Caenorhabditis elegans: one gene and its partners. The protein of the gene in region 1 interacts with the protein of each later gene in a pairwise test. Each region holds a gene or a part of one and is shown on either strand. Other genes may lie near its edges.

Region 1 (6,898 bases):
CCAGCACCGTACCCAGAATCCAATTGGTGACTACATTGGACTCAGAATTGATGGAGAGGTTGAGGTCACTGGTATTGAGTTTTCGCATTAAATTTCGCGTTTTCTGGGAAATAATTGCATAATGTATAACAATTAATATGTAAATTAAATAATCTTCTTGCTTTTTTAAAAATAAATTCGAATTGATTTTTATTTGTATGTATTAACATTACTTATATATTGAAAAATTCAGTTCGTCTGTCCATAGTTTGTAGTCTATGTAGTCTTTGTAGTCTGCAAAGTTTTGAAGGGATATTGGTTAAGGGTTAGGGGGGAGATATGGTCAGGGTACTGTAGTAGTACTGTAGGAACAGGGAGCTGTAGTACTGTAGAAGTACTGTATGAATGCTGTAGGAGTATTGTAGTTTGGAAAAAAATTGAGTTATTTATATGCCTGAAATTGGGTTTTTTTGATTGAACTGGAAGCTCCTGGCATCTAGAAAATTTTTTTAATTAAATTCTGAAAGCGCTTACAATTTGAAACAAGTCCCCGACGAAACAGTTTCAAAAAAGTTCATTTTAAGGCAGATACTAATTTTCAAAGTTATTAAAATTAACAAAATCACCCAATAAAAAATGTGGTGACAACTTCGAGACAATGTGTTGTTTAGCGTAAAATACAAAAAAAGTCGTGCGTTGAATGAGAATAAAAAAGCGTTTTGTGCGTTTGGCACAGTACCAGCTCCCCTTTTCGTATCTCACCTTTTCGCAGATCCCCTTTTTGCAGATCCCCTTTTCGTTCTGCTCCCCTTTTCGTGGGGCCTCATCTATTTTTTCGTCTGTCAATCTATTTTTTCGTCTGTCAATCTATTTTTTCGTCTGTCAATCTATTTTTTCGTCTGTCAATCTATTTTTCGTCTGCCAATCTATTTTTTCGTCTGTCAATCTATTTTTAGTCTGTCAATCTATTTTTCGTCTGTCAATCTATTTTTAGTCTGTCAATCTATTTTTCGTCTGTCAATCTATTTTTCGTCTGTCAATCTATTTTTCGTCTGTCAATCTATTTTTCGTCTGTCAATCTATTTTTTCGTCTGTCAATCTATTTTTTCGTCTGTCAATCTATTTTTCGTCTGTCAATCTATTTTTTGTCTGTCAAGTCGTATATTAATTTTTAATTTTTAAAAATTATCAAGATCACCCAATAAAAAATGTGGTTATTTATATGCCTGTAGGTCAGTTTTTTTATTGAACTGGAAGCTTCTGGGAAATAGAACAATTTTGTGATTAAATTCTGAAAGCACTTAAAACTTGAAAAAATCTTTTATTTAAATACTAGTACTGGTACGAACAGTACAGAACAAAAAATAATTATTATTAAAATCTATTAAAGATCCTCCAAAAGATAACTGCATCTAGGTTGATTATCCAAGTCGTCAGCTTCAGTTTGAGCATCTTCTTGATATTTTCCCTGGTCCTCCATCATTTCATTTTGCTTCTTCTGTTCATTCACATTTCTCTCGATCGATTGCACTCGATTCACAATCGGCTTCTGGATACCAAGAGCAAATGTGGCACGAGTCAGAACAAATGCACTATTTTGATTCAAGGATTGAGTCATTGCAGATTGTTTCAGATTGATAGCACCGGCAATTATGTCATCACAGAATTGAGAAATGAAGCCGCTTCGCTTGATTTGAGACCAGAAACTCATTGGATCTGGAATCATTTGGAAGTTTATTTGATAGGTAGAGGCAGTGAAACTCGAAAATATGCAAAAACTCCTTACCATTTTGCAGACAACTGTAAATATCCTGAGCTGGGCTGCACACAGGTCTTTCTGGAGCTGGGGATCTTGTTGAGAAAGCTGGCTGGAAGAACTCTTCAAAAACAAGCTGATCTTCTGATTCAACAAAGTTGATTTCCAGCTTTGCCTTGTTTTTCTTGCCTGCTGGACGCCCACGACCTCTTTTCTTGACTGAAAAAATAGGATTTCCTTAAAATTAAATGCACCATGATTTTTAAAATATTACTTGGCTCTTCACTAATTTGTCCACTACTTTGCTCCGTTGGCTCAGATGCATCATCTCCGGAAGCTAGAACATCTTCGAGGTGACGTTTGTTAACTGGAGCTCTGCCCGTTGAGTTCATGTAGTTGCGACTTTGGCACTGTCCATGACAGATACTCTTGTGATTATAGAAATCGATGGTTTTGTTCTCCAATAGTGTTCTGAAATTTAATGAATTAAAACTGGAACGTTAAGAATTAAACGTGGCTAGCAGTCCCAAGCAAAAGGTTACGATTAAGCCCAAACCTAAGCCTAGCACATAACCTAAAACCGAGGCCTAAGCCTAAGCATACGCCTGAGCCTAAACCAAAGCATACAATTTATTGATCTTTCTGCACTCACCTCAAGCTAACATTCTCCACACGAATACACGCCTTCCAGTCTTTCTGTCGCCCTTTTCCACCAAGTTCCGTAAATTGTTTCGGAGTCAGATACTGTGCTGAAATTCCAGAATAAATTCATTCTCTCACATTATAAAAGCCACCATACATTCATATTCGATGCAAGCCTGACGAATTCCGGGGCACCTGAACAATTTGAGATGCATAATTCCTTTGACATATCCACAGGTAACCGGCACCGTGGTGGCATTTAGAGGTACAATTGGTGTCCAGATATGTTCAGATGGAGTATCCAGGTAAGTATAGCTGAGTTCCGATGCTTGCTGTAATATTTATTTGTTATTTTCGAATTGCTAATTGGAGCCAAAATGGCATTTTTCGTATCTCAGACAGCAATGTAGGTGCATTTGAAGTTTTCAAACTAAATTGAAGATTTTTTTCGAGCCAAAAAAGTATTTCCGAGACTAACAAGACTATTTCAATTTTTGGAAGAATTGTTTCCAAAAAAATTGTCTCAAAATTTCACATCCCAACTCACATCATACATATTCTCCTGAACGCGTCTCCCGTCTATCTCGAAATTTGGATCACTTGGAACCAGCATCTCTTCGTTTTTCATCTCACTGGTTGATCCGAACTCGGGTTGAGTAGAGAATTCGAAATCATCGTCGTCACACATTTTTCAGGTAATCGATGAATAAAGATGGGCGACCCGACGCGACACGATAATTTCTGACACGCAACTAGTTTTCCGCCAGCTTGGATCTGTTGGCTTCTCGCGTGTTTTTGAATATTTTTAAAATAAATTAATGATTTTTTTTTTGAAAAGTTAAGGCATTTCAATGATCAAAAATATCATTTATACTGGAAAAATTGCAGAGAAAAATCCAAAAAGTATTGTGGTATCGTAAGCCTTACTAGGGACAAACAATATGATTATTAAAATAGATGACTGCAGAAAAATTAGTTTCGGAAGAGCATTTTGAACTAGCAAAAAAATGTTTTTCATAAGAGTTTTTTTAAGTTCTTGCGAGGCCCGGTAATTTGCATGGAAGCTTTTTTTTTGAAAAAAAAATCAGCTTCTAAAATTGTTTACCCAACTAAATTCAAAAATTTCCAGATTTTTTTCCAGTACGTTTGTTGTGAAGAATTACACAGAATTCAAAAAAATGCTCTGCAAAATTATTTGAAATGGGATTTTTTCTGAAACATCCGGTGTTAAACATTTTTACTATTTTTCTGTTACACAGGGTAAATCATCCTCCACGCCATCCCATTACAATGAGCACTGTATTTGAGCATATCCACATTCCATTAAAAGTGGTGGGTGACCCGGACTTGTACTTTTACTTTTTGAAACCGCAATTCAATGATCTAAATACCCATGAGAGGCCCGATAATGAAGGTGATTTTATACTTTTTAACGAACAACGATTACCTCATTCGTCATATGACTGGAGCCTGGAGCTAGCTACAATTTTTACATTTAAAATGTTTTTTTTTGTTTTGAAAATTAACTGTTTGCTTGTTTTTTTTCATGTGCAGTGGAGAAACATCTGGAATTAATTTTTAGATATATTTTTATGTTCTAGCTAAGATATGATTTTTTTAATTTTAAAATATTAATGGGTGAATAGGGGAATACCTATTCAATGAATTGCGGCTGTGCATGAAAAATCGCGAAGTGGAAGTTATATATTTTAAAATTTATGAAATTTCCTAAATTTTCAAAATTGTTAATTGAGCAGGCGACATTGATTGTGGGCTCCATCTCGGCATATCCAGGGTACTTACGCAATACTGGCTAGTTTATTGTAATGGTACGGTACAGTAGCGTTACTAAAGCAAGCTCTTCTTGTTTTTTGACTGAAATACTACAGTTAGGATCCACGCCCAAAAAAACTGAAACTCTTTTTTTGCTCATTCCCAGTATCAAAAGTAACAAACTTTAATATGATAGTATCTTATTTTGTTTTTGTTCAAATAGATGGTTGATATCGTAAAAGCGATAGTGGGAATGCTTGTTTTTCAAGTTTTAGTTTCGAATTTGGTTGTTACAAAACTAAGGTATGATAAAGATGTTCTGCTTTACTTTTTTGGCCAAAAAAGTATCAAAAAAAAGTTTGAAACACAGATTCCCACCACTTTCAGCCTGTCTTAGAACAAATTCCATTTTCTCTTGCTGATAAGCTGTCTATGAGAGAGACACTATTTACATTACCTCAATATACTTGCCATAATGTTACTTGGTTTTGAAACTTAATGAATCATAATACGTTTATTGTTGCATTGAGTCCCCCCTTTCAAACAGGCGGTCCCCCCTACCTTATGTGTCCCTCCCCACCAGCCGAACCTCCAATCGTCTACAACTCCATTCAACTTTTCTTCGTCCATCTCTCTGTCTTATCGCATTTGTCCTCTATATGAGACACACTTATCATAAATTGGTGGGCGACACACAGACACTTTCAATTGTCACTATTTCGGACACGTCTCGCGATGTTTCATTGGAGCTCATTGCGCGTTGTTTTTAGAGTTCCGGTGTAGAGTGTGACATTATAGTTAGATGAAATTCAAATCCACGAGTTGTAAAGTTGTCCCATGTTTTGGACAAATGTAAAGCCACCCAAAGCTTTTCAAGTTAGAAAGTTTCAAAAAGTTGCTGAAAAACTGCTACAGAATCGCAATATGCCGAGTGTCATGTGTAACTCGGCACGTTGGTATTTGAGACAGTTTTTGAGCAACTTTTCAAATCGTTCAATAAAACATGAAATTATTTCTAGAGAGCACAAAAATGAATCTCTATATCTATATAAATTTCCAGAACAAAACTTCTGCTCAACAATGAGCAAAAAATTAATTTTGTAAATGTTTCCAAAGTGCCAAAAAATGAGCCGCGCATCTCTACCGGGCTGCTCGCTTTCAGCATTGTGAGGCTTTCTTCAAATGAACAGAACTCCAAAACTAAAAGACATGGATAAAAACTTTAAATGACGATCATATTGCCAAAGGTTTTGTCTATAGTTTTGTAGTCAGCGAAATTTTGCCTACTCTGCTCTGAAAAAAGATTGAGTGGCCGACATTTGGCGGGATTATTTTTTGAATAAAGTTTTGAAAGAGTCAAGAAAGTGGAAATTGGTAAATTCAAGCACTGTTTTTAAAACCTCCTAAATTACTTTTATGTTTATAAAATATCATAAAAATAATAGACTCTGAAAACGGATTTTCCAATTCAAAGTGCTTTTCTTCTGCTTGATTTTTTTTGTTGTTGAACGATTTATTTAAAAGACTCTATTCCAAATGGAACAGGTTATCTTTTTGAGTAATTTCTTAAATTATTGATTTCGCTCAAAATGTGGCTCTGTATCTAATTAGAAACCGTCATACATTACGCAATCTGTCATTTGAACTTTTTTTATGCATTCCTGTTAGAGTTGACGGAAAAGTTGAATGTTATGAAATGGCTGCATTTGAAAAAATTTCAGTTTTCCCATAGCATCTTTCTGATCTTTTCAGACCCATTATTAAACAATTCAGAAACATTGTAGCCTTAATTATCCCTGACTCATTTCCAATTAAAATTTGCAAAATAACATTCCTCAAATCACGAGTCTTTTTTGTTGTTTCTAAAATCACCATCGTAGTCTCTTTAATTCATTAAAAAACTTTCAGAAGTCAAATGGGAATGACGAGTATGACGTCAACGAATAAACGGAAAGCGTGTGTCATCGACAATCTGCTAGAGGTAAATTTGAAATCCCCATGTCTCATTTTACTTTTGGGGGCTCATTAAAAATAGCGGAGCTCATTGCTCTCTTTTATTGGAGAGGGGCGCCGCTTTGATGTGTTATAGTATGTCACCATCCTTTATTACCATATTTGCGCATGATGACAGACCCGGAGATGTGATGTAGTCAAAATATATTTGAAAGTGGAAAGGTTTTTTTTTGAGCGTAACGTTTTTTGAATGGTTTGAAAATGTTATGGAAACATACAACCGGGGTATTGGAGAATTGGGGAAAGTAAAGTTGAAATATTATGCACGCCTGCCTACACCTACAAGCGGGTCTACTGAACCTTTCTTTTCAGTCTAACTGCAAACAATATAGTCGAGATTTGAATGTAAAATTTCAGAGGATAGAAGGTACCTAGGCAGGTGAGCCGTAGGTAAGAAGGTACGTATGTAAATACAAAAATAGCATTTAGACACAAAAACTTGCCTGCCTATAATGCCTACTCTACAAAATACATTTAAAATGGCAGTAAATTTTAACTCATAATATTCTAGTATAATATTCTAGTTTTGCTCATCTTTGAAAGTTCATATCTCGGTTATTTTCAGACATATCAAAAAAAGTGTCAACTGTCAGCTAAAACCTTACGGGCTAGAGTGTAACAAAATATTTGTAAATTTAAAAATAAACATTAGGGAAAGCAGCCGACACCTCATTGGTTTGAGTGCACTCCGCAAACTCCTCAGTATCTCGCATGTCTTTTATGTTATCAGAAAAT
Region 2 (7,278 bases), on another chromosome or scaffold:
TCATAATTATAGTGTTCTACCTAATTTGTTCTTGCATCTCTGCTCCGCTTTCTTGAGAGCAGGGGATCTAAGCGGATAAATATCACATCCTAATTAGAAGGTTAACGCGTTCATTGTAAAAGCTGAGGATGTTTTCAGGACCAAGAATGGACAACTCACATGACCAGGTATGATAATCGTGGGGGTTTGCGGTTTGGCCAGCATGTCGCAGTCGTTTTCTTCTTGACTATTTTCAACTTCCTTGGCAAGCTTCTTCGCGTTTTCACTCAGTTTTGTCGGATTCGCTTTTCGTCTACGGCTCATGCTGGAAAAATACAATATTTTAAAATTATTTGGATTTTTTGTTGCAACGTTTGCAGCAAGGCTGGATTGGCCCAAGAAAAAAGTTGGTAGTGGATGTGCGGGAAAGTTGAGAAACGAAAAGGGATAGATCATAACTCTAAATTAGATGCATACACACAATGCAAATATACATCGAAACATGAGCGTTAATGAGGGGTCGTCATCTCGAGAAAGCCCTCCATCTTGGGGATCAGCCGCACTGATGTTCCTAAGTAGGTGGCGACGGAAGTGAATGAGCAAAGCGTTTACTCCCAGTGTATATTCACACATACACCTGGACAAGACGACGTGCCATCACCGGAAATGGGTCCATCAAGCAGCAACAGGAAATGTTATGCTTTCTAATCACTTTTGTGCAGTGTTATGCACATGCGCCACTTATTATTCTGATGGAAAAGCGTTAGGAAACGGAAATTTGTCATTTCAAAGACTCGAAGAAAATCGGAATATAAGAATTGTACATACATGTATTACATGTTACATTGCATGCACATCAATTTCCCAATTCTATACTTTTATTAAAGAGAGGGAGAGTTTTTCGACTGGGACCACCTGTGATTATAAATTCGCATAATCGTTCTCGTAGCTCATCGCGATACGAGTCATTAGTCTTAAGGCAGGTCAACATGCGATTCATTTCACACAGATGTTGCTATAACAAATTCAAACAATTATGAAATACGGGGCCAGGAAAGATGGCACAATTTAGGAGCTTCACAAGACAAGAAGAAATTTTGCTGGTGGTTATGATGGACTCCCCCTGAGCATTCATCAGCCTACCGTATACCTGTCTACCGGATGTCTCAATATGCTTTTATTCATGAGGCTTGCACACGCAAACAAGTGCTTTGAAATGTAAGTAAGCAATGGACAGCAGGTGTCGAATAGCGTTTTGTGGATTCAAGAAAAGATAGAAATGATAGAGGTGATAATGAATTAGTTATCACGATTACTTTTAAGTTACTCATTGAAGTTTCCAGAAAGCGGTTTTCAATACCAAAACATTTATATAGTATTCTAATATTTAGGGAGCCTATTTTGTAGTACTAGTTTGCATGGATGGTAAAACTATTTTCGGTCAGTAGTGCTTTAAACTTTTCTAGTTGTATTCCAGTTTTAATAATGGTCAAAGACCCTTTTACAATTAGTAATGGCCAAGAAAGGGTGAAACGGCCGACCAAAAAAAGCAATCTATGACTAATCGATTCACAACAATACCATTCTCTACACACCTAATTTGTCTCTTTTCTTCTCGAAAAGCTGAGAAAATGGTTTTGTGGGAAAATGTGCACTCGGTCCTTGTTAAGATGTATACATCAATGGTGATGGGTTTCTTTTGATACAACATTTCTTACGAGAACATTAGAACCTTTGATCTTTTTGCATTAAACAATAATTCAAATACTTCAATTTCACCTTCCCGCGGGACCGTTAGTATCAAATTCCACAATTCATCGATGTTGCCCTTGGATAACTTGTTGTTGTGGGGATGGAGGAAACAGGGGCTAAGAATCGAAATCTATGAGCAAGGCCTGGTTAAGCCGATTATAGTCTAGAGCAGGATGGATCAAGGCCTATTTGTCAAATGGGAAAGGGCATAATGTTCGTTCAATATTGAATATTACAAGAGCTCCGTTTTGGTTTGACAACAAAAGATAGGTGTTATTAAGTGTGATATATAAAAGAAGAACAAGTGTGACAAGTGACTCCTTCCGCTGATTTGAGGTCAGTTTTTGAAAGAAAAAATTTTCGCAACAATTTCTGTTCAAGATTCGTATGAGAGTGGGACGAAAAGATGAAAAACGGGGGAACTTTTGTCGTCTTCCAGGAAGATGCAACAATTGACAAACATCTTGGCAGGCATTGTTCCATCAAGAGCTCGGGGTTCCCTGTGTCTTATCTTCCTATCAAAGATTTCAAACACGAAAAACGGATAGGAAAAAGTGATACTACGAGTACAAACGTTAGTTCGACGGATATTTTCAACACGTTCAAAATGGTGATATTTGTGGAATCGTTTCTCAAGGTGTCACACACTCTACTTACCATCAATTAACGAGACAATAGATAATCAAATAATGTCGGGGCAGGTGACAGGTTAGCAATAGTTGAACACCTAATAGAACATACGTCTCATGGCTTTGTTCCGTGTATCCGGGGCGCCGGTGACAACTGGCTCTTGTGGCGGCTGAACCTCGAAACAACGGTGCTCTTTTTCTCTCGATGTCACACTTTTTGAGAAACTGAGAAACTTTTCGTGCAATACAATGGAGCTCTCATTGCACTTTTAGTTTGGGACAAAAAATGTTGATAGGCTTGACGAGCGATGAGACACTGGGACAGTGGGACAGCGCAGATGTTTGATGAGCAGGAATGATGTTCGATTGTAGTGTTTTGCGAAGAATTGTTGTGTGATAAGTTTATGAAAAAAAAGTTAAGTCTCATGCACAACAAATAAGAAAGATTTCAAAAAAAGGTAAATCAAATATATTAGGTCTCCAAATAAGTTCTGGGTCAAAAATCATAACTTTGTTCGCTGTGTATCGATTTTCATGAAACTCTGGGAATTTATGTTATCAACTATAATCTTTCATTTAACAATAGTCACGAAATTTTTTGACCGCCCCAAGTGTCCTAACTCGGAGCCAATTTTTTCAGGCATTTTTCTGATCTCGCTTATTTTCAGCTTTGAATTGAGGGTTGTGTGCGGATTTTTCTTTGTTTAGAATACATTATTAGAAAACAACAAAAGTTTTGAAAAAATCCGTCCAAAAAAATTTTTTTTGGTTGGTCGTCAAAAAATCTTCAAAAAAATTTTTTGTCGAAAATTCTAGATTTTTCCTACAAAAATGATGTAACCATGAACCTCAATTGAAATTTGAAAAGAAGCGAGATCAGAAAAATGCCTGAAAAAATTGGTTCCGAGTTAGGGCACTTGGGGTGGTCAAAAAATTTTGTGACTATTGTCAAATGAAAGATCATAGTTGATAACATGAATTCCCAAAGTTTCATAAAAATCGATACGCAGCGAACAAAGTTATGACTTTTGACCCGGAACTTATTTGGAGACCTAATATACCACCAAATATTTCTCTACAGTGTGCCCAACGTCTATAGCACCACCCCACTAATTTGAGAGTTTGGTGTTTTTGAAAATATTTTTTGAAAAGGTGTTAGTACAGTTCAATAGAAAATGTTGAAAACCTATGGTCCTTGATTTTCACAACTTATATCTCAAAGTTTAGTTCGAAATTTTAACAATAAACGAGAAAATTATGAGGAGCCGAGAACTGGCCCCTGTCAAAAAATCCGATGAGTGCTATAGAAGTTGGATGAATGTTTTTTTTACAAAATTTTTACTTAATTTTCAGGTATCATCATAAAACTGGGGGAGCATATCCTTTGCAGCATTTGCTATCAAACTGTGCTGACGTTTTTTTCTGAAAATAATTTGGAAGCACCAAACTCCCAGATTAGAAAAGGGATGATATAGACGTTAGTTGTAATGTATTAGTCTTGTACTCTCATTGCTTTACTTTGACAGCTTCTATCTCGGTTGGCAAATTATGTGCAAAATGTTTTTGTACATTTCAACAGTAAATAATTTTTTGGTAAAACTTAAGAAGACTGATATACGAGGTAAATCCATTGGGGTGCAAGTTTAATACGGAAAATGCGGTTTTTAACTACAATCAAGTATGTCAATGATCACTCGCATGTTTCTCCCTTGAAGCTCAAGCTGAATAGAGTATGGTTTCAATAGATTCTCAATAGAGTATTCAAAAGAAATAATTGACATATACACCCTACCAAAACTGCAAACACAAGAGCAAGGATAATTCATCATCGAGATCTCCAATTATCCCTTACAGTCTGTCAAGAATACATGAATATTTGATAAGGTAAAGTATGGAAGAAGAAGGATAACACAAAGGATAGATAGAAAAGAAGAAAAAACAATTATTTATGGAATTGGCAGTGCCCATAGGAGGCACATGATGATAAACTCGGAGTTAGCTAGGATATTAAAGGGATCATGAGCAGTGACGGGTGCGGCGATTTGGCCTACTATTATTATGATCAACAACGGCACACGACAAGGAGAAAATAAGACTAGACAAAGTAATAATTCTTTGAAATCTGTCACCAAATCTGGAAGTGTTGCTCTTGCTCCAAATGCGCAAATATAGGCAAAAGTGTGAGAAAAGTAAAGTTGGTGAGGAAGAGAATACTTACCAGATGCTTGCTGGTGCAAATACTTGTTCTACTTGTTTTGTTATTTCAATGAAAAAGCAAAACAGTGCTCACAACATTAAAAGGGGAAAGAGCATGGCACAGTAGAAACTAGAACGGAAACTAGTTCTTACTCACCACTATAGAGCCATTCGGGAGATTGTTGTTACTGATCCAGCAGTATTATGGAGTATTGATTTTATTTGGAGTGTCTGGAATTTTAAATTTGCGTTTGTAAATTCAAGCCTGAAGAAAACATTGAAAAAGAAGAATCAAAAGCGTTAGAAATTGAAACTAGAGAAACTTAAAAAGGCCGATTATTTGAGTTCAGTGGCATTATTAATTCAAACGATTCACACGCGCTGAATGAATTGTGAATTATGAAGGAGAACAAAGATATTGCACAGATATATATCAGAAATTCCTTTTCTTCAATTGAGGATAGTCTCACGATTTGTCCTTTGAGGGTAAGAAGAAAAAGAAAAGAGAAAAGGTTCAAGTGAATAAAAGATGGGGGCAAAATGGAAAAATGAGAAAAAAAATGTTTGGTTGAAAGTAGAAAGCAACACTTAGAGAAACATAAGTTCAGTAGTCAAACAGAAAATATAACTAGTTGTCCCACAAGGAAGCCTATGGTATTAATTTTTTGTTTTGGACTGTTCACGAAATTTCATTGGTCACTAGTTTCAGACATGGTGACCCAATTGAACTGGCAATTTCAGACAACAAACTTTGAACCAAGAGAAGAAGAGAGAGGGAGAAAACAGGAAAAAGCTGGTATTGGTTGTCTAGGTGATTGGAAGAGGGAACTGGTATCAGACAAGTGGTTCAAGGTAGTTGTGTTCCATCACACAATGAAGAGAATGAAAGAGAGTGACCACCCCACCTGAAAACAAAACTGACCACGCAATTTGTTTGTCCTCTGAATCGTCTCACAATAAGTTACACACTGTGCCCTCTTCTCTGCAAAGTGGGTGGTGGTGGTGTGTTGTCGGAGAGACACGGTGGGGACCCGCGCTTCTTCAGAACTGGATGTGTTGACCAATGGCGCAAAAGTTTTCCAAAGAACGCGAAATGGTAATAGGTCGAGAACCACTTGCAACAATTCCATAATGTTTCTTTTAGTTGACACAATGCACCTACTCAACCTCGTTTCGAAGATTCGGAAATGCATTTATGATAGACTAAGAGGGCATCGCAATACGAGGACGGGAATCAATCATAATGTATTTTAGGTGGACATTTTAGCTTTTGACAGTAAAGAATATTGAAACACACTGAAATTGTATTTCAATATAGCCTAGAAATTTTAAGTAGGCCAAAAAGTTCTAACTATAGTGAGAGGTTATGACATCTAGGAACTTGGAATATTAAAAAAAATCTTAGTTACTACATACAACAAAATCCTAGAGTATACGAACTCTTATATAAGTCTATATAAAATAAGGTCAAAAGGCTATCACAAATGAAACCGTAAAGATACGGTTTTCTAGTTCAAGAATATACAGAGTCGCCCATAATTATGGCGACCACTTTGCAGTAACTCAACGTTTCTGTTTTTGGAACGAGATATTAAAACAAGTGAACTTACACAGTTATTAACCACCCTGAATAACTAGGTAAATTAAATAGGTTTGCATATTTAGAATTGTTAAAAACACAAGAACTGAAAAAACACATCGAAATGTTAAAATTTTAGATCTATGCTTGAACTTGAATTTGAGATTGAGACATTTAGTATTCCGATTTTCTAAGCAAACTCAAATACTGTTGCACAACGCGTGATGTGACTAATGTTTATGTTCTTACAAGTTGATATGAAAAATTACTATTGGAGGTTTTTCTTATGTCTCATAGCTGGCAAAATTATCGCTCCCTGATAAATTCAAGATTTATGACATTCATAACTCAAAAAGAACATACTTTTAAGGTTTTTACTCCAAAAATCAGAACTTACCAATTTTTTTACAGGTTGTGCTAGTTTGGCTATGAGTCTAGAGGATATAAGAGCCTATAATGCTAATGAAATACCACAAATGTAAAATGAAAAACTTTTAACAACAGCTCTAGGGTTATGGTGAACTGTCTTGGAGCATGAAAATGCTCGATGTTAGCAGAAGAGATTGTTATATTCATTAGTAAGGAACACACTATAAATCAAATTTAGTTGGAAGGTACCTATTACAAAGTTCATTACTACATCAACAGCTAGTATGTTTCAAGTACCATTGGCCAAATCGGTGGCAGTGACCCAAATCGCTGAAACTCCATCAATCGGAGTACAAAAGATATATATTCAGCGCCACACCCATAGGTAGACCTTGTATGTATGCAGATCCGAAAAAATCCATGCTTGTTCATTTGCCTCCCACCGGTTAATCTATTTCTTTCCCTGAGAAAGGCCGGCTTTGCCTTCTTTTGCCTGCTTTTCCTTCTCAATTTTGCCGCCCATTGTACCCGTGTTACGCAAAAGCGGATGACCATTGCGGCAAATGCATACAAACACAGGAGGTAGTGTCAAAATAATTTGCGATTTGCCTTTTTGCCTCCCCCCACCATCTCCTCATTTCTCCCTCATTCATCGTCTTTATTATTGACACTCGGAACCTGTTTGATTTGATTTGCCACTGGTCACTACCGTACGGATGGCATATAACTGTATTTGGAGATGACGATTAGCGCGACTGGAATGAATAGACAAAA
Region 3 (9,247 bases), 1.9 Mb from region 1:
GCAACAGCAGCTTAACCAGGTTCGGAACTTGAAAATTTTCAGATTTTTAGAGTTTTTAGCTGTAAAAGTCGGTGTTTAGCTCGCTGAGAGCTTTAAAATGAGCCCCATATCGACTAAGTTTGGAGAACATTCAGGATTTTGGGTCTCACCACGAAAATTCCTTGGATTACTGTAGCTAAATGAAATTTCCTGAAAGTTCCACTAAGAAATTCGAATTTCCCGTCATTTTTCACACCCGGATCCTGTTTTCTAGAGCTTTACCACAAATATTAAAGAAATTGTGCATTTTTTCGTAAGATCCTCCGTGTTTGCGTATTTTCGGGGCTACAGTACCCCGAAAATTGAAATTTTGAGCTAGCAGCACGGGAAACCAGGATTTCGGAGTGAAAAGTGACGGAGAATCCGAATTTGATAGTGAAAATTTCTGAAAATCAATAAAAATCCTGAAAAATTGAATTTCTTCAAAATATCAATGATTTTTCTCGTAATTTTTCGAAAATTTCATTGTCAAATTTGAATTTCCCGCCATTTTTCACCCCGGGAACCTATTTTCTAGAGTTTTACCTTAAAATTTAAAGTAACTGTGCATTTTGTCGTAAGAAATTTGGTGCTTGCGTATTTTCGGGCCTACAGTACCCCGAAAAATTTAAATTTTAGCTCAGAACCCCGGAAAAAAAGTATTCAGTGGTAACAAGTGACGGAGAATCCGAATTTAACAATGAAAATCTTCAAAAATCAATAAAAATCCCGGAAAAAATCAATTTCTTAAAAATATTGATTTTTCTGTGATTTTTTTGAAAATATTGCTGTCAAATTTGAATTTCCCGTCATTTTTTACCCCGGGATTCTATTTTCTAGGGCTTTAACTCGGAATGTAAAGAAACTGTGCATTTTGTCGTAAGAAATTCGGTGTTTGCGTATTTTTGGTGCTACCGTACCCCAAAGAATTCAAAATTTTAGCTAGAAACCCAGAAAACCACGATTTAGAGGTAAAAAGTTACGGAGAATCCGAATTTAGCAGTAAAAATCTCCAAAAATCAATAATTTCCCCGAAAATTTACAATTTTTTTCCAGAATTCCCGCAAACGCAAGCAATCTCCACAAGCTCACTGGAGCGACGTTGATAATGTGGAGAATCTGGAGAATCAGGCGACCGCCGCACAACAAATTCCGGCAAAAAAACCGCGCTGGAATTCGGTGGAGCAAGAGCCCGAGCCCGAGGCTCCGCTGGAAGCCGTCGAGCAGCAGCAACAGAAGCAGCCGACAACTGACGGGCAGCACCTGCCGGATATTGTCAAAAATATTGGAGGATTCGAGATTCGTGTCATTCGAAGTCACGACCCGTCGCGCAGAATCTACACTTATTGATTTTTCCCGCCGCCGAAAAATCGAAAAAATCGATAATTTATTAATTTCTCTTGAAAAATCTCCCAAAAATCAATAATTTTACGACATTTTTCATCGATTTTCCCCCTGCGATTGTAATATTTCCCAATTTTTTACATTGTATTAAAAAATGCCAAAAAAACAATATTTTATTGATTTTTTTTTTCAACGATTTTTCAAAGTTTTTCCCGAAAAAAAAAACGAATGTATTAATAATTGTACAAAAATGTTTCCATTCCCCCCCCCCCCCCTGAGCCATTTTTATCAACGTTTTACCCAATTTTTCCACAATTTTCCACTTTTTCCTGAAAATTATCGATTTTTGTGTCATTTTTGTGATCTCTCGCGATTTCTATACAATACATATCTCGACCCCACGACTTTTTTTGTAATAAATTATTATTAATTCGCAAAAATTTGAATTTCCTTGGGTCTCACCACGATTATGGAGAATTTTAAGTTGCAAATTCGAATTCTCCGTAACTTTTTACCTCTAAATCGTGGTTTTCTGGGTTTCTAGCTAAAATTTTGAGTTCTTTGGGGTACGGTAGCACCAAAAATACGCAAACACCGAATTTCTTACGACAAAATGCACAGTTTCTTTACATTCCGAGTTAAAGCCCTAGAAAATGGGACCCCGAGCTAAAAAATGACGGGAAATTCAAATTTGACAGCAATATTTTCAAAAAAATCACAGAAAAATCAATATTTTTAAGAAATTGATTTTTTCCGGGATTTTTATTGATTTTTGAAGATTTTCATTGTTAAATTCGGATTCTCCGTCACTTTTTACCACTGAATACTTTTTTTCCGGGGTTCTGAGCTAAAATTTAAATTTTTCGGGGTACTGTAGGCCCGAAAATACGCAAGCACCAAATTTCTTACGACAAAATGCACAGTTACTCTAAATTTTAAGGTAAAACTCTAGAAAATAGGTTCCCCGGGTGAAAAATGGCGGGAAATTCAAATTTGACAATGAAATTTTCGAAAAATTACGAGAAAAATCGATATTTCGAAGAAATTCAATTTTTTCGGGGGCCCGATTTTTGGAGCCTGAACATTGAAATTTGGAAAGTTGTGCATTACCCCGAGAAAATCAAATTTTGAGCTAGAAGATCGGGAAAAATGGTTTAAGAGGTAAAAAATGCAGGAAAATTCGAATTTCTTGGAAATTTTACTTGAAATTTGATAATTGTGGGCGAAATAGAACGTTTTGAAGCTTTTTGTGTAGTTTTTTTTCGGTTTTCATTCAAAACTGTAAATTTTCGATCAATAATATGAATTCTACGTCTCTTTTCACTCCGGAAACCCAATTTCCAAAGCTCAGCTACCAAATCCTGAGAAGCTGTGCATTTTGTCGTAGGAGCTGCGGCGGTGTTTGCGTACTTTTGGCGCTACCGTACTCAGAGAAAATCAAAAGTTGAGCTAGAGACTCGGCAAAAAATGTGAATAGTGGGAAATTATGCGAGGATTTCGTTTTTGAAGTTGGTTTTCCAAAAAAAAAATTGATTTTTCGGAAAAAAATTTTCCAAAAAAAAAATTTTTTTTTTACAAAATATTGTTTTCCCCGCCGGGGTAACCAGAAATGAAAGCCGTAGAGGGAGAAAAATGAAGAAAGTGACCTTGAAAGTCCCTTTCTGCCATACAAAAAACGCTCCCCTAACCAGCTGCCCCCACACACACAACTTATTCCGAGGCACACGAGAGAGTACACACAATCAAAGAGACGCAGAAATGCGGCAATTTCGAGTGTTGGGGGCGATGAAGACGGCGGAGACCATTCATTTTTGCCATCTGATCACTTTTCCGATTTTTTCTAAATTTTTTTTTTTGACAAAAGTTTTATACAACTCGGTAAATAATTTTTGTACGTAGGCTTACTTTGAGGTCTTATAACTTTGGACTCAAATGAACTGTCAAATTTTAAAGTAAATTGCCTGAAAGATAAAGTTTTAACGCAAATTTTGGTAAAATTTCACCAAAATTCATTTGGTAGTTTTTGAGAAATTTAGGTTTTAATTGAGAAAATAAAAATGTTGAAAATTTTTTTTTTTAATTTTTAAATTTTTTTTTTTTGCATTTTCCAAAAGTTTAAATCAAAAATTTGATATTTTCTGAAAGAAAAATAAAAATATATTTAACGCTAATTCTGACAAAATGTCAAGCAATTTGCACAATTATTCTTTGAGATACTACAGTTTTACCGAAGAAATTTCATTTTTCAGTAAATTTTTCAAAAATTTAAAATTTAAATGGGTTTTCTGAAACTTTAGGGCAATAACACATTTTTTACAATAAAATTTTTTTAAAAAAACAATGAAAAGTACATATTTGTCAAGTTAGAAAATTTGAATTTTCACCAAAATTTTTTTTTAAACTTTTTTGAAATTTTTTTTTAATCCTTGAAAAAAATTTAAAAAGTTCAAAAAAATGTCTTTTCATCAGAAAATTTAATTTTTATTACAATTTGGTTATGTATATACTTTTATTAATATAAATTTATTGATATCCTCAACAGATATATGCTTTCAAAGGTTGAACTGGACATGGTGCATCGATCAAAAACTTGGACAGCTTATATCTCAGTTGTCATTGTTTTTATCAAAAAATCGATAACTAATAAAATGTTCATTATGAACTTCTCTATAACTTTGTAGTTGAGCACTTTTCCATATCTCCAAAATTAACAGAGATACTAGCCGTCAAAGTTAGAGTTAGACATGTTGCATCGACCTTTCCTAACTTTGACAGCCCATAACTCGGTTAATATTGAGCCAAAGGTTGTAAACTGACAAAATGTTCATCATGTTTTTCTCTATAACTTTGTTGTTTAACATTTCTCCCTACCTTTAATATTAACCGAGATATAAGCTTTTAAAATTTAATAGTACATTTTTCAGAATGTCCGACTCCCCGCAGAGCTGCAAAAAGCCGCGAACTCGGAAAGAAACTATTCAAAAGCGAGAAACACGAAGTAAGCATGAAAAACGACGAAGGGAAGAGATGAATGAAGTGATTTGTGAAATGTCGACACTTTTGCCCGAAGATATTCGGGCTCATAAGCTGCGAAGAGTGGATCAGAAGCCTCGTCAGCTGGACAAATGCTTTATCATTGGGAGTACTGTTGATATTATTCGGAATAGTGATTATAGTGAGTCTACAGATTCAAATTAGTAATAATATTCTAATTTGGAATTTTTTTTTAATTTTGAAAAAATTTGGAAAAAAATTTGAAAAAAAATTTCGAAAATTTTTTCTTTTTTTTTTGCAAATTTTTTTCCTAAATTTTCGATTTTCAAAGCTTTTTTCTTTGTTTTTTACTCTAAAACTCGGTAAAACAACTCTATTTCCTCCCGAGAAAAATATAAATTCAACCTATTACAGTAACCCTGATCCGTTTCGTGGCGGGACCCAAAATTTCAAATTACCTTCAAACCAAGGCATGTTGGGTGTCATTTTAAAGCAATCATTGAGCTAAACTCAAATTTGAAAGCCATTAAGCTGAAAATCTCGAAATTTTCGGAATTTTCAGTCAATTTCAATTTCCTCCATTTTCCAGAACCACCGCTGCTCTCCGACCCGCTCGTCCAGGATATTTTCAGCCTGACCAACTGTTTTATGGTTTTTCTGAACAATTTTATTGTCGTGGATATTAAGGGAGACCATCAGGCAGTTTTTGATATTGAAAAAGTTTGTTTTATTGATTTTTTTTCGATTTAAAAAAAAATTCAAAAAGCCATTAAATGGGCAGAGTTACAGGCCTCTGAAAATAATTGTTAGGCTTAGGTGTAGGCTTAGGCGTAGGCTTAGGCTTAGGCTTCAAACATTTTTTTGGGATTAGGCTTAGGCTCAGGCTTAGGCTTAGGCTTAGGCTTAAGCGTAGGCTTAGGCTTAGGTTTAGGATTAGGCCTAGGCTTAGGCTTGGGCTTAGGCATAGGCTTATTAGAAAAAATGGGAAAAAAAATTCTCAAAACATTTTTTTTGGAATTTAATTTTGTAAAATTTTCCAAATTTTGTCCCAGACGGGCGTGACAATCAAATGCACACTTTTTTAGTTGACAACTTTTTGCTAACCCTTAAATGGTAGCAACCTTTAAGCTTCAGTAACTCCGCCCATTTATTGGCTATCAAAAAATTTTCAACCGACAAAAGCTTCACCATGAAAAAAAATCTGCAAATTTTTTCAGTTGACAATTTTTTTCTAGCTTTTCTAGATTTGAAGATATTTGAGTTTATTTTTTTGAAAAAAAAAAATCCCAAAATTTTTTTTGTGGGATTTCATCTTTTTATAATTTTTAATTTTCCAAATTTTTTCCCATACAGGCGTCCCCAATTAAATGTTCCTTGTAAACAAAATGTCGTCATATTTTCGGGGAAATATTATCAAGGTCACTTTTTCCCAAAAAAAATTCGATTTTTTCGGACTGTGTGTCAGCTGACTTGTTTCAAGGTGAACTGGTGGTGGACCGGGGGTGGGGGGGGGGGGATTTGGTGAATCATTGGGATTTTTTCGGTTGGAAAATGTTTTATAACATTTTAGATAGTATAAAAATTTAGAAAGTTTTCGAAAAAAGTTTCAAAAAAAATTTTTTTTTTTGGACTTTTTCTGAAAAATTTTTTTTTTTTTGTTAAACTAAATTTTTTTAAAGTTAGAAATTCTAGAAATAAGTTGTAAACTAACAATTTTTGTCAAAATTTTTGCAAAAGATTTGAATTTTTCGCTAGTTGATAACTTTTTAGTAACCATTAAATGGGCGTAGCTGCTGCCTTCCGTAACTCCGCCCATTTCATGGTTATCAAAAAGTTTTCAACTAACAAAATGTTCATTTTGAAATTCTACACACTTTTTTAGTTAACAACTTTTTAATAGCTGTTTTAGTTTTTGAGATATTTAAAAAAGAAAAAAAAATTTTTTAATGAAATTTTTTTTTTCAGAAACGTATGATTGGAAAAGATATCCGATGTTTTCTGGACTACGATTCAACGTCCAAACTGTCATTTCTCACTTCCAAAGAAATGCTCAATGAGCTCCAACTCAAAAGCTTCATGGCGAAGTCAATGACGTGCAGAATAAAGGAATCGGCGGAGGTTTGGGATTAAAATGTTTTTTTCAATTCGAACAATTCGAAAAATTTAGCTTTAAAACTAATTTATTTGAATTTGGCGTGTAAATAGCTTTTGAATGACACCCATCATGCCTAGGTTCCCGCAATTTTGGGGGAATTTTCCGGGTCCCGCCACGAAAACTGGCAGGGTTACTGTAGTTTTGAATGAAACTAACTTTTTCAATTTTTTTCAAAAAAGTGTGATCACTGAGCTAACTTTGAAGAAAAAAATTAAGAAAAAATAGTGAAAACTAAGAAAGTTACAGATTTTCGAAAATTTGTGAAAAAAAATTTTTTTAAACAAAATTTTTTACCAAAAAAAACTTATTTTGTCAATTTTTTTTTAGCTGAGAATCACAATTTTACTCTCAGCAACCCAGAAAACCTGCAAAACCTGGTAAAACCAGTAAAAACAACCAAACTACAGTAACCCAGAAAGTTTTCGCGGCGGGACCCGAAATTTTAATCATTCACGGAATATAGGCATGATGGGCCTTATTTTGAAGCTCTGGACGTGCTTAATTTGAAAATGTACGAGTTTTGGCTCAAAATCGTGATTTTAACCAAAAAAATTAGTTGTTAAAAAATTGAAAAAATTTTTTTTTCCAAAATTTCAAAAATTCCTAGAAATTTTTAAAAATCAAAATTTTTCCAGAAACCCACGGAAACAGTTTTAGTCTGTGTGCCTGATGAGCTTCCAGCTCTCCCGGTTACTGTACCCAAGGCTCCGCCCATTTTAGCTTCGCCCCTTCAGAAGACACCGCCCCCGCCGTCGAGTTTGGAGGTGAAAAGCCCGATTTTGGCGGCACTTTTGAGGCGAAAAGAGGATAATTGTGTGAAAGTGGTAAGTTATTAATAAGAATTAATAGTTTGGCGGGAAATTTCAAACTTTTTGAGAAAAAAAAAATTGAAATTTTTTTTTTCGGAACTTTTTTTTCTAAAAAATTATTTAACACTATTTGTTGAATTCCAGAGCTCCCCAAGCTCCTTCCTCTCGCCGGGCTCCTCCACCTCGTCTACAGTACCCAATGTGAAACCTACAGTAACCCGCCGACCTACAGTACCCACAAAACGGAAGAGACTACGATCGATGAATGTTATAGTGGAAAGTTATCCGTTGGATGATGAGAAGTCGGATGGAAATTCACAAAAATCGGCGAAAATTGGGAAAAAGAGGTTTTTTCTAACAAAAAAAAACGTTAAAACCTACAGTAATCTACTCCAAAATCCATGCGAGACCCTTAAAACTGAAAATTTCAAATTTAGCTCAACAAGACCTTTCAAATGACCCCCATCATGCCCGGGTTCAAATTTTCACAAATTTATTCAAAAGTTGGGTCCCGTCACGTGGGGTACTGTAGCACTGGTTTCAGCTGTGTCAGTGACATAATTTCGGAGTTTTTCCGAAGCTCTAAGCGTGCGAAAGTTAAAAATGTTAATAAAATTCTTAACATGTAAGATTTTATTGATTTTTTCAAAAAAAAAAAATTTTCTAATTTTTCTGAAAAAACTTGCAAAACTATGTAAATTTTCAGCCAAACTAGCACTATTCCAACTCCGAGAAGCACTTTGAGCCCAACTACAGTAATCCATCCGTCCACGTCACTAATTCAACCGATTCCGACACTTGGAATGAACCCATTTGACATGTTATCACCTGGTTATCAAGATGTATGTGAAAATTATCGATTTTTAATGGTAAAATCAATAAATCATCGCTAAAAACTAGTTTTTATCAATAGAGCGCACTTGCAACACGGTTTTAATTCAAATTATCGACTTTTCAACTACAGCTACTATCAATTTTCCAGATTTGGCTCCGACTACAAAGTGAGCGACTTCTGCTGGAAAAACGAATTTCAGCGAAAGAAGGGGAGCTGAAAAACCTGATGCAATTCGTTCAAAACCCCCCGTTTTTGAATTTCCCCCAATATATGCTCCCGCAAGGGCCACTTGGTGCTCAAAATCAATAGTTATGGGTTTAAATGAATAAAATAAATATTTATTTACAAAATTTGATTATTATCGACGGGAATTTGTTTAAAATACTGCAAAATATACTGGGAAATTTCCGGAAAAATCATTTCGAAGTTAATTATCATTTGAAAAACCGCCGAAAACTGTGAATGCGCAAGGAGAGGTTGCTGGCGCATTTCTCTTGTTGCTTGCGCACTCTGCGATGAAATTAATTTATTTTATTTTTTCATCATTTTCGTTGGGTTTTCATCATTTTTCAGCGATTTTTTTGCAATTTTTTTCAAAATTCCCATCAAATCTATAGTTTTTCTCACAGGAAATGGACTCGGCCGACCCTCAACTCAATCGATTCCTCCAGCAACTGCAGGCGGAGACGCAGCGTCAAAAATTCACCGAACAAGTGCACACGCTCACCGGTCGCTGCTGGGATGTGTGCTTCGCCGACTACCGTCCGCCAAGCAAGATGGACGGCAAGACTCAGACCTGTATTCAGGTAAAAATTTGGGAAAATTTGGCAATTTTCTGCAATTTTATGGGAAAATTGAAGAAAAAATTTAAAAAATCCAATTTTTTTCCGTTTCAGAACTGCGTAAACCGCATGATCGACGCCAGCAACTTCATGGTCGAGCACTTGTCCAAGATGAACGGAGGACACGTCTAAAAATCGATGAAAATCCCCTTTTAACCTTCAATTTTTCTTTGTTAACTGTTATAACACATACTGTTTAGGCTCTTTTCCATAAATTTTCCCTTAAATTCGACGTTTTAAGCGCTGGATC
Region 4 (7,402 bases), on another chromosome or scaffold:
TCACAATTTTCTCAAATTTAGTCAATTTTCAGCAAAAAATTACAGCATTTCTAGCTTATTTTCAGTCATTTTCTTGATTTTAGGGGCAATTTCTGTGATATTTCTCAGTTTTCCAATGGGTTTTCATCAAAATTAGAGCGATTTCGAGTAATTTTTAGCCATTTTTGTCACTTTTTCAGCCAATTTTCAGTCAAAAATAGAGATATTTGGCTCAATTTTTTCCAAGTTTTCGTTAACTTTTAGCAAAAATCGGGCAATTTTAAGGCACATTTTGCTGATTTTGCCGAATTCTTTGCACTTTTTCACAATTTTCCGGCAATTTTCAGTCAAAATACAAAATTTCAGAGGCATTTCAAGCAATTTTAAGCCAGTTTTAACGATTTTTGAACAATTTTGAGCCTTTTTTGTTCAAAATCAAAGCGTTTTGGCTCATTTTTTCCAAATTTTCTCAATTTTCAAGGAGTTTTCGTCAATTCAAAAAAAAAAAGTTCACACAAAAATATGACAATCTTAAGACGATTTTGGCTAATTTTAGCGAATTCAATGCGCTTTTTCTCAAATTCAAAACAATTTTTAGTCAAAATACGATTGATTTTTAGGGACATTTAAGCCATTTTTAGCAATTTCTAGACAATTTTCAACCAAAAAAAAACATAGTTTTCATTTTGGCTCCATTTTTTTTCCAAATTTTCTGCATTTTTACCTCCAAATCGCGCCGTTTCCACGCATCTTCCATCTTTTTCACTCCGACAGCAATCCGCTTCTCTCCCCATTTCGACGGTGAGAATAACGGTGCATTTTTGCTGCTCGGTGAGCCCGTGTCTTTTTTCAAAAATTTGTCCATAGTTCCATTATTTTTCTCCTTTTTCTCAGCTTTTCGTGCCGCTTTTTCCTCTTTTTCCTTCAATTTTTCCTCTTTTTCTTTCAGTTTTTTCGCCTTTTCCTCTTCTTTTTTCTGCTTCTTCTCTTCCTGTTCTTTCTGCTTTTTCTCCAGTTTTTCCTTCTCTTTTTCATCTTTTTCCTTCTGTTTTTCTTGTAAACGGCGGCTCGAGAGGATCACAGGGCCTCCAGATGCTCGCGGAGCTCCACGTGGAGTTTTCTGCAAAAATTTTCGGTTTTTTCACAAGTTTCAACAGAAAGTTCTCAGAAAATTGGAAATTTCGCATGATTTTTGTCAATTTTTACATTAAAAAATTATATTTTCTAACAGTTTTTGGTGAAAATTGGCACAATTTTGGCGATTTTTGCGAGATTTTAGTCAATTTTTCACTGTAAAATGTGGTTTTTTTCTCGATTTTTCACAAAATGTATCCAATTTTTCTCGTTTTTTCAGAAATTTACAAATAAAAATCCCATTTTTCCTCATTTTTTACTATGAAAAATGGCGTTTTTCTCAATTTCTCAGTCGAAAAATCTAATTTCTCACAAATTTTGTCAATTTTAAAGCTAAAAATCATCGGAATTTAGTTGATCTCTGTCAAAATCACGATTTTTTCACTGTTTTATTCAATTTTTTAGGAAAAATCCTAATTTTTCTGTATTTTTACTACGAAAAATCGAGCTTTGACTACAAAAATAGCGTTTCTGTCAATTTTTCAGCTGAAAATCTACTTTTTTTTTCAATTTTCAGCTAACATCCTGATTTTTCTTTACTTTTCCTCTCCGAAAAATCAGATTTTTCTCTCAATTTTCCAGCTAAAAATCGAAATTTTCCCGTACCATAGCACTTTTATTTGCAGCTTCTGCTCCACTTTCAGCATCCATTGACACCTCTTGTACATCTGAATCATCGGCTTCTGCCGCCACACTGAGCTGAGCAGTTTTCGGCGTAGATTTCCGATTTGCTGAGAATATTGGAGCATATTTTTTAATTTCACGAATCGGATTCTCGGCGAGCAGTTCTTCCCGGACTTTCCACTGCTTTTCATCCACAAATTCAGCATCTTCAATGGCGATTTTCTTGATTTCTTCCACTGATAGACCCTTTTTTCGTCTGAAAATTGAGGGAAAATTAGGGTTTTTTCTCTAAAATTTTGGATTTTTCTTCATAAAAAGTGTAATTTCCACTTATTTTTGAGACAATTTAAGCGCCAAATTGTGAAATTTCACACAATTTTCATCCAAAATTACATCTTTGAACTTTTTCAGACTCTTTTTAAACGGATTTTTGAAAAAAAAAATTGCAGTTTTTTACACTTTTCACCGCAAAATCAAATTTTTGTGGACATTTTGTCTGGAAAATCGAATTTTTGAACGAAAAAACTAATTTTCCATAAATTTTCACTGGAAATTTCGGGTTTTCGAGGAAATTTTAATGAATTTTCTGGGATTTTTAGTGCAAAAATGGCCATTTTTCGTAATTTCGCCCACTGAGAGACCCTTTTTTGGCTGAAAATTGACATTTTTCAAATTTTTTATAGCAAAAATGAAAAATTTCAGCATTTTTTATGTGAAATTATTATATTTTAAAGCATTTTCCGTCCAAAAATCTCGAATTTTATGAGTTTTTAATCAAAAAACATGAAAATTTTTGGATTTTTCATGCAAAAATGTTGAAAATTACGCATTTTTGCAGCTATTTTGTGGATTTACTTTATATTTCACTTAAAAAGGTCTAAAATTGGCTGAAAAACACGATTTCAGCGTATTTACCGGTTAAAAAATTGGGATATTCTCGATTTTTCAATGAAAAAAACCCCATTTTTGCTCAGGAAAGATCTAAAAATCCGTTTTTCAATTCAAAAAATGACCTAAAAATGATAATTTTGAAGTAAAAATCGTGGGAAATGAATTAAAAAATCAATTTTTTGTTATTTTTCGGTTAAAATAAGCAATTTTTCATGAAAACCTGTAACTTTAGTGGTTTTTTTTTTGGGTGAAAAATGAAGAAAAAATGCGGAATTTTCAAATTTGTTGCATGAAAAATCTGAAAATTTAACGATTTTAGTCATTTTTGGCCTAAAACTCCGATTTATAAGCGAAATTCAACGGTTTTTCGCCACATTTTTCCACCGAAAACCATGCAATTCCATCAATTTTCACCTCAAATCGCGATGTCCAATTTTGGTGCCGTCCTCCATTGTGTAAAGTGTGAGCCCACCGCGTTTTTCACTGGAAACCACTGTATATTCTTTGCCAGAGCTCATTAATTTCTCTCCGGCAAAGAATTTCTCATCAATTAGGTCTTCAATTTCGTCGAGAAGGTCATCTTCTGATAAATTGCCTGAAAATTGGGGGATTTTTCCGCGAAAAATCTAGTTTTCTAGCGAAAATTTGGAGATTTTTGATGAAAAATCCACAATTTCTGGGTTTTTCACTCACTATTGTGAACTTTCGAGTAAACTTCAATGGCGAGTGGCTTTGGGAGGCGGGAGACGGCTGAAAAAAGAAACATTATTTTGTGGAATTTCGGGTTTCTAGGTGAAAATCGGGTGGAAATTCACGATTTTTCGGCACTAACCTGTCCCATTTTCCGACTTTTCCATTTGTTCCGTCGATTTTAGTGGTGTGGCGAGCGAAACGCTGGAAAAAGAGAGAAATTTGGCTCGAAATTCGGAGAAAAAAAGTCGAAAACGAAAAACAATTCAAATATTCGCAATGGGGCGCGCTTGCACACCCATTGGTTTTTATTGGATTTTCATGAATTTCCAGTGGTTTTTAGTGATTTTCACGGGTTTTCAATGTGAAAAATGAAGAGAACGTTGAATTTTACACCAGAAACAATAAAAAGAACTCTCAAAATTTTGGAGAATCGAGAAATAAGTTAAAAAAAAATTTATTTTTTTATTTAAAACATTTTAAATTTAAATTCACGTTTAAACTTACTCCGCAATATCATTCGAATTCGTAGCAGCCGTCATATTTCCAATTTCACTTCCAAATGATCGCTGGCTCATTTGCGAATCAACTTTTTGAATTTCCGAGTTGCAACAAGTAGTTTGTTAGTTTTTCGCACTGGAAAACTTGAATTTAAGTGACTTTAACGTAATTTACACAAAAATTTGCGCGAAAGCCGGCTATAAAGCGACAGAATTGTGAGGAATGCGAGAAAAATCGACGGACAGTGTTTGAACACCTGCGCGTTCGCGCCAATTTTTAAAAGCGCTAAACAACACGCGCGGCGGGATTTCGGAGTGTCGTAGTGCGGAAAATTTTTATTTTCGAAATTCTTTTTTTTTTTCGGTTTTTATTTTATTTTCCATAGATTTTTCGCTTTTTTCGAAGTTTTTTAAGTGAAAAAGTGAAGATTGAAGTCAAATTACTTACATAAAACGATAAATCGGCCAGAAAATAGGCAGAAAATCAGATTTTCTGGATTTTAAAACACTTTTTGAAATTAAAAATGATTAAAATTGTTCTTTTATAAAAATCCGAAGGTTTTAACGAATTTCCAGTGATTTTTCATTGTTTTCGCACACTTTAATCGTATTTTTCCCAATTTTAATCCAAAAATCCCCAATTTTTTCCAGTTTTCGATGGGTCGCGGCGAGCACAAAGAGCACAAACGAAAGCGTTCCCGTTCAAAGGAACGAAAAAGAAGCCGGAGCCGCTCGCCACGTGGCAGTCGTGAGCACCGGGAACATCGAGACAGAGATCGGGATCGGGAGAGACGCAGAGAACGAGACACTGATCGGGAGAAGACGAGAGATCGTGAAAAGCAGAGAGATGCAGAGAAAAAGAAGGAAAAAGAGAGTAAAACGGCGATTTTTGAAATGGAAGAGTCACGGAATGGTAAGGAATTGCAAAAAAAATTGGCAAAAAAAATCGATAAAAAGCCAAAAAAAGCAAATTTTTGCCTGGAAAAATCCCAATTTTCGAATTTTTGAGTTAAAACTGGGAAATTTGAACGAAATTCAGCCTAAAAATAGGATTTTAAGGTAAAAAAAAAAAACTTTTTAAACTGAAAATCGCAAAAATTAGCCGATTTTCATGCCAAAAGCATCAAAATTCAGCTATTTTTGCCGTTTTTATTTTTGCTATTTTCATGCAATTTCTAATTTTTCCGGAGAAAAAAAGCGAAATTCGGACAATTTTTGGATAGAAAAATTGAATTTTTGATTCAATTTTCGCCTTATACCGTTGAAATTCAAATTTGTCAACAGAAAGAGCCGAAAATTGTTCAAATTTAAAGGTTTTTGGTTGAAAAATTGAAGTTTAGGCGATTTTTCACCAAGAAAAGTGCGAAATTTTCGAATTTTTCATGCAAAATCCATAGAATTCTCAATTTTTTGCGAAAAAAAAACTCTAATTTTCACCCAGAAAAATGCATTTTTAAGCGATTTTTCCAATTTTCCACTGATTTGTATGGTTTTTGCAAAAAATAATGTGAATTTTATGAACTTTTCATGCAAAATCCATAGAGTTCTTACCTTTTTCCCAAGAAAACATAAAAATTTAAGCGATTTTTTTTCAATTTCCACCTAAAAAACTGAATTTCTAGACGATTTTCACCCAGAAAAGTGTGAATTTTATGTTTTTTTCGCAAGAAATAGGCCAATTTTCAACTTTTTGTTACGAAAAAACCTAACATTTTAGTGAGTTTTCTCAAATTTCACCCAAAAAATTGAATTTCCAGCCGGCTTTTACCCATAAAAGTGTGAAAAAGCCCAAATTCTCAATTTTTTGCAAAAAAACCCCTTAATTTTATCAATTTGCAGACACCGAAGAAGTTATGAAAATGAAAGAAGCCGAATTACTACAGGGAGTCGAGCGTAGGCGTCGTAATGTGGAGAAGTGGAGAGCCCAAAAGAAGAAGGAAGAGCTTGATCTACAATCTGAGCAATCTGATGAAAAATCTGAGAAAAAGCCCTGGAATCTGGAGGATGAGGATGATGAAGACGAATTTGATATCAAAAATGAGGGAATTTCAGAGGAAAACCCGGTGAAAATGGAAGAAAAAGTCGAAAAAATGGATACAGACGACGAAGAGGACCCTCTGGACGCTTTTATGAAAGAAATTGCCACTAAAAACGCCAAAAAAACCGGAAACTCCACGCAAAAAGCGTCTGGAATTGTGACAATTGTGCAGGAGGAGAAGCCGGAGCCCGAAAAGGGACAAGTGCTGGAAAATGAGGATAATATGGATATGGTTATTGATGATTTTGATATTGAGACGGCTGCAGCATCATTATGTCATAAAGGACGAATGTTGGCACAAACTGACCATTCTAAGGTCTATTATCGGAAATTCAAGAAGAATTTCTATATTGAGGTGCGGCGGGAGAAGTTGAAAATCGGGAATTTTTATATTAAAATTCGGAAAAAATCAAGAAAAATTGAAAAAAAATTATTTAAAAACCTTCCATTTTGTGGGAAATCTGGAAAGTGGACATTTTATACGAAATTGCCAAAAAATCCGATAAACCGGGTTTTTTTGAGTCCCTTAGAGGCTCTACCAATTTCTTGGTTATTTCCAATATTATCTGTGTAAAAAATATATTTCTAGCCTAAAAATCTTCAAAAATCGGAAAAATTTGATTTTCTAAGAGAAAAGTATTAAAAATACATGAAAATTCTGGAATTTTTCAGATTTGTCTATAAAATTTTGAATATTTTCGGTTGAAAACGCCAAAAATCCTGAAAATTTTCTGAAAAAACACGTTTTTCAGCTCATTTTTTCCGAAAAAATTGCCAAAACTGCAAGCAAAATAGAAAAAAAAAATACCGATTTCCAGTATGATTAGGTGTAAATTTCATGAAAATGTGACTTGTGTGTTTCTCTATCCGAATTGATGGTTTGAATAGTGGTATTCTCGGCTGAAATATGCAATAAATACCGTATTCCAACCAACAATTCGGTGCAATAGAGCACATTTGTCACCGGGGATGCGGAAGCTATGCCCAAATTTTCATTTAGCGCGGAAATTTGGCTGTTTTCGGGTGTAAAGTAGAAAATTTGGAAATTTCGACATTAAAATTTATTATAAAATTTGAAAAAAAAACCCATAAAAACCCTTTTTTCTGACAATTTTCTGTTTTTTTTAAATCCCAGTTTCCGAGGAAAGCTATAAATTTGGGTACGGTAACTCGGAATTTATGATGTTTTTTTTTAAAGCTGTAAAAACTGAAAAATTCTGCTCAATTTCCAATTTTTTGTTGAAAACCTAGTGGTTTCTTGGATTGTTCTAATTTTTTAAATCAAAATCCTGCTGAAAATTAGAATTTTTAGCTTTTCCGCTTGATTTTCGGAATTTTTTGTGGCTTTTTTCAGGAAAAAAATTCGTTTTTTACGGAAAAAACGGCAAATTCTTGAATTTTTCGATGTTTTTCCCATGAAAATCGAAATTTGTATTTTTTGTTTTTTTTTTTAGTAGGAAATTCGAATAGTTTTTTTTCGTGGCGAGACCCAACTTTTTCAGACTTTGCGCAAAGTAGGTCAAAATTGAACGGCAACTGAACTGAA

What was found.
Region 2: the proteins of gmeb-3 (region 1) and egl-13 interact in a two-hybrid assay, tested with the Caenorhabditis elegans proteins (one large-scale study listed by BioGRID).
Region 3: the proteins of gmeb-3 (region 1) and hlh-33 interact in a two-hybrid assay, tested with the Caenorhabditis elegans proteins (one large-scale study listed by BioGRID).
Region 4: the proteins of gmeb-3 (region 1) and F53H1.4 interact in a two-hybrid assay, tested with the Caenorhabditis elegans proteins (one large-scale study listed by BioGRID).

Annotation. Positions count from the first base shown.
Region 1 is NC_003281.10:3,764,715-3,771,612, reverse strand, and holds gmeb-3 (SAND domain-containing protein), read right to left. Parts: upstream 3,114-6,898; 5' UTR 3,066-3,113; coding exon 2,925-3,065; intron 2,710-2,924; coding exon 2,535-2,709; intron 2,485-2,534; coding exon 2,388-2,484; intron 2,207-2,387; coding exon 2,010-2,206; intron 1,955-2,009; coding exon 1,766-1,954; intron 1,696-1,765; coding exon 1,364-1,695; 3' UTR 1,285-1,363; downstream 1-1,284. Other genes in the region: lec-4 (Galectin), read left to right, coding at 1-91; C44F1.1 (uncharacterized protein), read left to right, coding at 6,066-6,131.
Region 2 is NC_003284.9:5,661,346-5,668,623, reverse strand, and holds the start of egl-13 (Transcription factor egl-13), read right to left. Parts: upstream 4,788-7,278; 5' UTR 4,714-4,787; intron 4,260-4,713; exon of another isoform or gene 4,120-4,259; intron 2,137-4,119; exon of another isoform or gene 1,944-2,136; intron 776-1,943; exon of another isoform or gene 631-775; intron 305-630; 5' UTR 304-304; coding exon 160-303; intron 1-159.
Region 3 is NC_003281.10:1,851,106-1,860,352, forward strand, and holds hlh-33 (BHLH domain-containing protein), read left to right. Parts: upstream 1-4,286; 5' UTR 4,287-4,287; coding exon 4,288-4,537; intron 4,538-4,945; coding exon 4,946-5,076; intron 5,077-6,321; coding exon 6,322-6,474; intron 6,475-7,146; coding exon 7,147-7,335; intron 7,336-7,464; coding exon 7,465-7,667; intron 7,668-8,026; coding exon 8,027-8,162; intron 8,163-8,302; coding exon 8,303-8,464; 3' UTR 8,465-8,498; downstream 8,499-9,247. Other genes in the region: pqn-82 (Prion-like-(Q/N-rich)-domain-bearing protein), read left to right, coding at 1-19, 1,075-1,368; ddp-1 (Mitochondrial import inner membrane translocase subunit Tim8), read left to right, coding at 8,788-8,961, 9,052-9,129.
Region 4 is NC_003282.8:1,306,718-1,314,119, reverse strand, and holds the start of F53H1.4 (PHD-type domain-containing protein), read right to left. Parts: upstream 3,955-7,402; 5' UTR 3,897-3,954; coding exon 3,826-3,896; intron 3,523-3,825; coding exon 3,461-3,522; intron 3,379-3,460; coding exon 3,322-3,378; intron 3,224-3,321; coding exon 3,043-3,223; intron 1,994-3,042; coding exon 1,720-1,993; intron 1,100-1,719; coding exon 704-1,099; intron 1-703. Other genes in the region: ddx-46 (RNA helicase), read left to right, coding at 4,476-4,731, 5,658-6,211.